Linked DNA regions of Yarrowia lipolytica. The protein of the gene in region 1 purifies or fractionates together with the protein of each later gene. This does not show direct contact. Links are inferred from orthologs where the notes say so. Each region holds a gene or a part of one and is shown on either strand. Other genes may lie near its edges.

What was found.
Region 2: the proteins of YALI1_E23691g (region 1) and YALI1_E38593g purify together in Saccharomyces cerevisiae (affinity purification with mass spectrometry; 8 studies listed by BioGRID). This does not show direct contact. The link is inferred for Yarrowia lipolytica from reciprocal best matches to the Saccharomyces cerevisiae genes COP1 and RET2.
Region 3: the proteins of YALI1_E23691g (region 1) and YALI1_F17709g purify together in Saccharomyces cerevisiae (affinity purification with mass spectrometry, with the first as the bait; 5 studies listed by BioGRID). This does not show direct contact. The link is inferred for Yarrowia lipolytica from reciprocal best matches to the Saccharomyces cerevisiae genes COP1 and RET3.

What each region holds. Positions count from the first base shown.
Region 1 is NC_090774.1:2,367,730-2,371,491, forward strand, and holds the start of YALI1_E23691g (uncharacterized protein), read left to right. Parts: upstream 1-1,390; coding exon 1,391-3,762. UniProt on the Saccharomyces cerevisiae protein: The coatomer is a cytosolic protein complex that binds to dilysine motifs and reversibly associates with Golgi non-clathrin-coated vesicles, which further mediate biosynthetic protein transport from the ER, via the Golgi up to the trans Golgi network.
Region 2 is NC_090774.1:3,857,687-3,860,681, forward strand, and holds YALI1_E38593g (uncharacterized protein), read right to left. Parts: upstream 1,659-2,995; coding exon 504-1,658; downstream 1-503. Other genes in the region: YALI1_E38561g (uncharacterized protein), read left to right, coding at 1-102. UniProt on the Saccharomyces cerevisiae protein: The coatomer is a cytosolic protein complex that binds to dilysine motifs and reversibly associates with Golgi non-clathrin-coated vesicles, which further mediate biosynthetic protein transport from the ER, via the Golgi up to the trans Golgi network.
Region 3 is NC_090775.1:1,770,125-1,772,172, forward strand, and holds YALI1_F17709g (uncharacterized protein), read left to right. Parts: upstream 1-840; coding exon 841-1,410; downstream 1,411-2,048. Other genes in the region: YALI1_F17706g (uncharacterized protein), read right to left, coding at 1-526. UniProt on the Saccharomyces cerevisiae protein: The coatomer is a cytosolic protein complex that binds to dilysine motifs and reversibly associates with Golgi non-clathrin-coated vesicles, which further mediate biosynthetic protein transport from the ER, via the Golgi up to the trans Golgi network.

The DNA.
Region 1 (3,762 bases):
GTGAAGTAAGATGATAGTCGAAGAGAACGTAAACCAATTGAGGACTTTTCATGTCATTGAGACGGTCGCAAAGTGACGATACGCAGTTGGACTAGGTATGATCTGCTAGAGTCCACACATCCACATTGAGTAAAGAGTACACTATAGAGTACACCGTTAGTGGACATCATTGTATCATTGAACTCCCCACGCCGGGCTGATTCGAATGGCGTAACTACTGGAGATATCGAGAAAAAGTGGGTTTTTCAGTGTTGCTTAGATCGAAGCTTTGAAAATCCACTTTGAAAAAATTACTGTTATCATGTTTACTACGAGTACAGAATGTAGGTCGTTTCATACGAAATTCCCGACATGCGAGTATTGTCACGTTTTTTTTTTTATATATATATTTTTATAATGACATAATACATTTTTATAACATACTAATATTTTTAATATCATTTTTACAACATGATATATTTTATTTAAAGACATTTTTACAACATCATACATATTACAACATACATTCCTACAGGGCTACAGTACATAATGTATGAATACAATGTTATAACATAACATTTTTCGTATTATTTTCTGCAGTATGCGTTTTTCTGTAGTGATACAACTTAAATAATTTATTGTCTCCAGTTGAGAGTTTACTTGGGAGTAGACGACGGGGATGTGAACAAAAGACTGTTCTAATTCCACCAAAACACGAGATATTCGGACCAAAATTTGACCGTATCATGTTTGGGCTACAATTGTCCGAATCAGCTTGTTATATTTGCTCCAATGCCTCCCACTTCCCATCCACAACACCGTTAGTGTCCTCCCCATCTTCCCCAAATTCTCCGTCAAAATAAACTTTGTGCCACGTTCTCCCAACACGTCACTTCGAGAACGCACTACCTCGATCTTTCTTCAACTGAGAACACATCTCACAATCCGTCAAGATGGAGATGCTAACTAAGGTGAGTAATCGAGGCGGGTTTTTGAGCGGTCAGGTGATCATTGGGCGAGAAATCGAGGCGGGTTTTTGAGCGGTGAGGTGACCATTGGGCGAGAAATCTAGACCGCCGGCGATGACACTATTAGGGCGACAGACAGAAGCGACACAGAAGCGACACAGAAGCGACACAGAAGCGACGCAGAAGCGACAGACAGCGTGGAATGAAGTGCGGGGGTGAAATGTGATCAACCGTTGCTCATGACGAGACGCATTATGGGACAAACGTGGTAGCGACATGGTAGCGACATGGTAGCAATGACAACAATATGATGACCTGTTGGCACACTGGCTTGGTTTGCCCATGTTCACGTTACTCCTTGTCGTTCACCAATCTGCTGCTTCACAACAGAGGTTGTTGCTTTAAGACAACTACTCGGTCTTGTTCACATTTGATGTGTCCAGATGTGTGTGACCACGGCCTGTTTACGTTGTGACGCGTTGTGTCATCCCGGTAGTCAGCTCATGCCATATCCTGATTCCACTCGTATACTAACCCAGTTTGAATCAAAATCTTCCCGAGCCAAAGGCCTAGCCTTTCACTCGACCCGCCCCTGGGTCCTGGTCTCGCTCCACTCGTCCACCATCCAACTCTGGGACTACCGAATGGGAACCCTGGTGGACCGGTTCGAGGACCACGATGGCCCCGTTCGAGGTGTCGACTTCCACAAGACCCAGCCGCTGTTTGTGTCCTGTGGCGACGACTACAAGATCAAGGTCTGGTCGCTACAGACCCGAAAGTGTCTCTTCACTCTCGTCGGCCACCTCGACTACGTGCGAACCGTCTTCTTCCACCACGAGCTGCCCTGGATCATCTCGTGTTCCGATGACCAGACCATTCGAATCTGGAACTGGCAAAACCGACAGGAGATTGCCTGTCTCACCGGCCACTCGCACTACATTATGAGTGCTCAGTTCCACCCCTCCGAGGACCTGGTTGTGTCTGCCTGTCTGGATCAGACCGTGCGAGTGTGGGACATTTCCGGCCTGCGAAAGAAGCACTCTGCCGGCGGCGGCGTGTCTGCTGGCGGCGCAGGCTCATCCATGTCGTTCGAAGAGCAGATGATGATGGCTGCTCGAAACAGCGGTGGTCCCGGCGGCCCCGGCGGACATCCCCAGCAGGGTGGCCAGGACATGTTTGGCAACCAGGACTGTATTGTCAAGTACGTTCTTGAGGGCCACGATGGTGGTGTCAACTGGGCGACTTTCCATCCCACTCTGCCTCTCATTGTGTCTGGTGGTGACGACCGGGTCCTCAAGATTTGGCGAATGAGCGACACCAAGGCCTGGGAGGTCGATACCTGCCGAGGCCACACCAACAACATTCTGTCGTGTTGTTTCCACCCCTACCAGGACGTGATTGTGTCTGTGTCCGAGGACAAGACGATCCGAACCTGGGACCTGCACAAGCGAACTCTCATCAAGCAGTTCAAGCGGGAGAACGACAAATTCTGGGCCCTCACTGCTCACCCCAACATCAACCTGTTTGCTGCTGGCCACGAGAGCGGTATCATGGTGTTCAAGATGGAGCGAGAGCGACCCGCCTCCACCATTGACGGCAACTCGCTGCTCTACATGTCTAAGGAGAAGCAACTCAAGCTGTTTGACTTCAACTCAGAGCAGGACAGTATGCCCCTGGTGTCTCTCAAGAAGTACGGCTCGCAGTATTCACCCATTCGGTCCATCAGCTACAACCCTGCTGCCCGGGCTGTGCTGCTGCTCACCAAGGACAAGGACCAGTTTAACTACAACCTGGTCCATCTGCCCAAGGACGCTGCCAGCGGTGGCATTGAGGCCACCGAGGAAATTGGCGGCAACGCTGCTCAGGCCGTCTTTGTGGCCCGAAACCGATTTGCCGTCTTCAACAAGAATGCCCAGACCATTGACATACGGGACTTGAGCAACACCACCACCCGAACCATCAAGCTGCCCAAACAGGTCAAGGATATTGTGGTTGTCCCCGGCTCGTCGGGCCAACTTCTCCTGCTGGGTCCTTCCCACGTCTACCTGCTGGACGTTGCCCAGAAGACCATTGTGGCCGAACTTGCTGTGTCCGGCGTCAAGTATGTCAACTGGAGCAAGGACGGCAAGCACGTGGCATTGCTGACCAAACACACCGTGACCATTGCTTCTGCCACCACGCTCAAGTTCATTTCGTCTCTTCACGAGACCATTCGAATCAAGTCCGCGTGCTGGGACGACAACGGAGTGCTGCTTTACACCACTCTCAACCATCTCAAGTACACTCTGCTCAACGGCGACTCCGGCATCATCAAGACTCTGGAGAACACTCTGTACATTGTGCGGGTTAAGGACCGACGAGTCTACTGTCTGAACCGAGCTGGCGAGGTGGAGGTGGTCCGAATCGACCCCACCGAGTACCGGTTCAAGCGGGCGCTGGTCAACAAGAACTTCTCTGAGGTGCTGCGAATCATCAAGTCGTCCAACCTCGTGGGCCAATCCATCATTTCGTACCTGCAGAAGAAGGGCTACCCAGAGATTGCGCTGCAGTTTGTGCAGGACCCTAAGGTCAAGTTTGATCTCGCCATCGAGTGCGGCAACCTGACCGAGGCCCTGGAGCAGGCCCAGATTCTGGACGAGCCCTCGTACTGGACGCTGCTCGGAAAGGAGGCTCTGTCGCAGGGCAACTTCCGAATCGTCGAGCTCGTGTACCAGAAGCAGCAGCTGTTTGACAAGCTGTCGTTTGTCTACGTGCTTGCCGGCGACTCGCCCAAGCTGCAGAAGATGGCTGCCATTGCTGCCCACCGAGGCGACGG
Region 2 (2,995 bases), about 1.5 Mb from region 1:
CCTCGGAAAGTGGTTTTGGAGGATATAATCGGCCTGGCCAAGATTGAGAGCATTGGCTGCGACTTCATAATCGCCACTCCCGGGCTGAGTTTGCAGTTGTAGTGACATAACAGGATTACCATTGACATAAAGGAACTTTTTTCTCTCTCGTCTCTCTCAACGCTTCAAACAGCTTCATAATATCTACTAATAGTGGTTATACCAAGTAATCTATTCCAACAAACACAGCAAGACATCTTCACCAGTTTAGCTACAAGTGTGTCTTAATATAGCCTGACAGCTTCTTCCCTACTTGCCCAACCTACAGTATGTACAATACTACAGCAGGTACGAGTACAATACCCAACAGTGACACAGACACAGGAAACACATGATACCAAATCTACTTTGTCACATATTGCTCCAGTAATACGGCCAATTTACACTCAACCTACTTGTACTCGTTGTTCCAATAACAGCTCCATACAACCTACTTATACATGCTACCTAGTAGTTGTTCCTCCTTAAACAATCTGGTAGTTGTCCGACGTCACTCGGGTCACCTCTTGGTAGGGGATGTTTTCGTCCTCGGCAGTGGCAGAGAAGACGTTGAGAATCTTGACGTTGCCCACTGTGGTCTCAGGGTCGTTGAGAGTGAAGGAAACCTCCATGGGGAAGAACTCGTCCTCCTGGTCGGCCTCAGCGGTGAACTCAAAGGCACCGGTAGAGGTGTCACCATCAGCAGTGATCTCAGGAATGATCCACTCGAGATGGTCGTCGAACTGGTCCCAGGTGATGGAGGAGTCGGAGATGTGAGCGTTGGAGGAGACCAGAGGCACAATGACAGACACGTTGGTCATCTTGCCGGTGAAACCCTCAGAGACCTCGTACTCCAGGGTCACGTCGTAGAAGCCGGGGTCCGACTTCGCAAACCAGCAGTTGAAGGTCAGAGGAACAGCCTCTTCCGGTGCGTTAGCAGAGTATCTCAGGACGCCGAGAGCAGCGCCGTTAGAGGGGAAGCCTCGAGAGGGGTCCTTGAGACCGATGATCTGGCGCGAGGAGAACAGCGCCTTGTCCACGTTGGGATGGGTTCGGTACTTGACGCCGGGGGCGTTAGCCTCGAGCGCGATTCGGATCTTTGTGTGGTCGGGGTTGCCGATTCTCAGCTGTACGTCTCCCTTGACCTCAGCGCTCTTAACAGAGCCGTCTCGACCGAGAGTCGCGGTGACAACCTCGGCGACAGTGAGATGAACGCCCTGGACCTCGGGATTGTAGGCAGAGGGAGCTGCTGCTGCGGGGGCAGTCTGCTGCTGCGGCTTTGACTTGGGGGTGGGCACGGCGATGTCAGCGTTAGCCAGCAGAGAAGCAGAGGGGCTGTCATCGAATCCGCCCTTCTTCTTGCCGAGCTGCATGCCCTTTCCTCGAGGAGCACGGGGCTTGTGGGTTGTCTCGGGGATAGGTGCGGGAGCAGCAGCGGGTTGCACAAACGAAGGAGCGGGGGCCTGGAAGGCGGGGGCCTGGAAAGATCCATGACCTCCAGCGTTTCCGGGCAGACCTCGCTTGGCAGCCTCCTTTCGCTGCATCTCCAGCTGCTTGGCCTTTCGCTTTCGATCTTCGGTGGCCTCCAGCTCCTTGTTTCGCTCAATGATTTCCTGAATCTTCTCCTCGTGGGACTCCATTTCCAAAAACGTCTGGATCTGCTGCAGAGACAGGTTTTCCCGGTAGCCCTGGGACACCACCTCGTCAAAGGCGCCGAGCAGGTCGAATGCGGCCAGCAGAATCTCCCGCTCATCCACGACACGTACCAACGAAGTGACCACCTGGACTAGCAGTCTCAGAGTCTCAATGTCCTGCAGAATGTTGGACTGACGGTTGGTGATCAAAACCACGTACAGCTCCTCCAGTGGCTGGTAAACGTATCGAACATTGTCGTGCTCCACGGTTGTGTGTTGTTTGGAGCCCTGGATGAGCTTGGGGAAGATGGCCAGCAGTCCGGCGACCTTCTCTTTGGGCAGATCTCGGAATTGACGCGAGATGATGGCTTTGCCGCCACGTGAGCATATGGATGCGGCTAAAACGACCTGTGTTAGTATATGCGCGAGCGATTCGGATCCGTCCAATTGCTTACCATTTTCCTCCTTTGATCGTGATGTGTGCTGGTGTGCTGATGTGTTGTCCTTGTTAGAGTTCGAGGTTGGAATATTGACAGAAACACTGGGTTCGCCCACAGAGGTTAGGAGTCACGTGTTTAAGCTCAACTTGTGCGGCTGGGAGTACCGATGGGAGTATGGGAGGGTGACAGGCAAATGTTGCCGTAACAAGAAGGAGTGTATTTGAAGGACACAGGTATGACACCAGTACGCGTATTTGTCGAACAAACGGATTTGACAATCTATTCTGAGCGTTCTTGGAGTGTTGATACTCCATATTTCCAAGTCGTCATCCAGTAAACGCGTCAAGTTGAGATTGTCGTAACTCTCCGTTAACTCTAGACACTGAAGTGTCGTGGAGAGTGGTCTGGAACGAGTTAATCACACCGTACGTACTGTCCTCTCCATGTTACACAGCTACTGGTACAGCACTTTGTTCTGTGGCGCGGGAGTCACGCTTTCTTATAGTGTGATTCCTTTCATATGTCGGCTATCAGCTCTCTCCATTTAGGGGCACCCTCATCACATGGGCTTGTTTCATTAAAGGGAGCGAGTCCTTAATTTCTTTCAGATTAGCGACAAGTAAAACAAATACTTACATACATACTCAGTATAGTAGGGACAACCAAATACGGTGCCCAGTAACCGCCACACCACTAGAAGTGTTATAGGGCTTAAAAGCGACTGAAACCCCTCTATAAAACCCCACTCGCTTCACCTCACCTGTTGTTTTTTATCATCCCACCACCATCCCACCACCATCCCATCTGCGCCATACACCCTGGAACAATAATATCTCCACGTCATATGCACGCTGCAACTCTATGTATTTACTTGGGTTTAATTTCATCTCCAGAACAAAACAT
Region 3 (2,048 bases), on another chromosome or scaffold:
GTCCTAGCACGGTATCTTTGAAACGCGCTGGACCCACCATCTTGGTCTGTTTGTTGATGAGTCCCTGCAGCCACTCCACCTCTTCCTGGGGGGCGGCGTCCTCTTGTTTTTTCGCCGTGATGCCGTACGTGGACGGCGCCATTGCTGCTGCTGGCTGTGTAGCTTGGCCAGTGTTGTTTGCTACTCTGCTGATTCTCCGGGCCTCTGCTGGTCCAGGTCCCTTGGCCCACTTGACAAAGTCCTGCATGCCCTGGTCGCCCTGAGGATCGGTATCGTAGGGGTCGAGTAGCACCACTGGTTTGATGACATGTGTGTTTGCCATGGCTTGTGCCACGTCTGTGATGATGGCGTCAAATCGGCCTCCGTGATGCGCCAGATTCATCGTCTCCGTCGCCAGCAGATCGAGATGCCGAATGTACAGGTCTGTGATTGTGTCCAGCACCGAAGGCGGGCATCGTTCGATACCGGCCACTCGAAGCAGTTGCGCCACTGATATGCGGGCCAGAGCAAAGTAAAAGTCTGACATGGAGGAAGTGTGGGAGAGAGGAATGGATGTGTGTTGCAATCGTGTGCGTTGCTTTTGTGTGTGTGGTGTAGGATAGCTGCGTTTGTGTCCGCGTATGTGTCTGTGGCTGCGTTTGTGTCTGTATTTATGCGGATTGTGCGTGTGCCGCGTTTGTCGTCACTAGGTTGGTGTGTCTGTCTGTCTCCATCCCTTGTCACTAAGGTTTTAAACTGGAGATGGAGGTTGGGCATTTTAAACTTCGCTACGTGTAACATAACACCTAACTGCTCTCTAGAACGGCAGATCACGACACATTCACACAACCACACAGAATCATGACGTCGGAATACTCGGTAGAGGCAGTGCTGCTGCTGGACAAGGACGGAAAGCGACTCTTCACCAAGTACTACTCGCCCCCACACGGCGACGTGCAATCACACGAGCAGCTTCAGACCCTGACGACACTCAAGGACCAGCAGACGTTCGAAAAGGGCCTGGCGCAGAAAACCCATCGACAGAATGGTGACGTCATCATCTTCGACAACAAGGTGGTCGTGTACAAGACGGTTGTGGACGTGACTCTGTACGTGGTCGGATCGTTTGAGGAGAACGAGGTGATGCTGTACCAGCTGGTTGCCGGCATCAAGGACGCGCTGGAGATTCTGCTCAAGCACTCGTTCGACAAGCGGTCTGTGCTCGAACACTTTGACCTGGTGGCTCTGGCTATCGATGAGGCCGTCGACTCGGGCGTCATTCTCGAGATCGATCCCGTCGTCATCGCAAGTAGAGTCACCCCCGCACCCGCCAAGGAAAGCATTGCGTACGGAGGAGTGGAGATCAACGAACAAACCATCTCGAACGTGTACCAGAAGTGGTCGCAGCGAGCTGGCAAGTTTTTCAGCTAGATGGAGGATGTATATGGAGGTAATAAGATGGATTTTGTGCAACATGTAGCGCGACTGTGACCCAGCTGCTCGGTGAGGGCCATCTGCTTGCGTTGCAAGTACTGTACTATAGATAAATATTGTGTTTTTGTGTGTTTTGCAATCGTAATTGGTTCAATTGAATAGTCGTATTGAAGTGTTAGTCGATCCTCCAAGTGCTGTTACGCTTGATCAAATTGTAACTAAGACAGGCGACAGCTGTGAGCTGCGTACTTGTACTTGGACAATAGACCAAGTTTGCGGGTGTAAACATGATTGTACAGGCTCAATTGAACAGTATCGACCGCTTATTCATCACAATGACATTCAGCGGTGAACGTCTACAAGTACCGGCATATTGTGCTAACTAAATTCTTGAACCAAGAACCATTGAAGTTACAGGCGTTGTACTTGTACTCATACTTGCAAATAATCAATGCGATTTTGTGTCGGCTGTTCGCTGAAGGGTCGTCTCATTGAGTCAATGAGTTGCTGGTCATAATCTGTCGTTGAACAGAAAGTAAGTCCTGTGACAAACTGTCATCTATTGGACTTGTTGTAGCTAGAAATCATCTAAAATCTCGTTGTTTGTACCATTGAGGGCTACAAGTACAGTATCG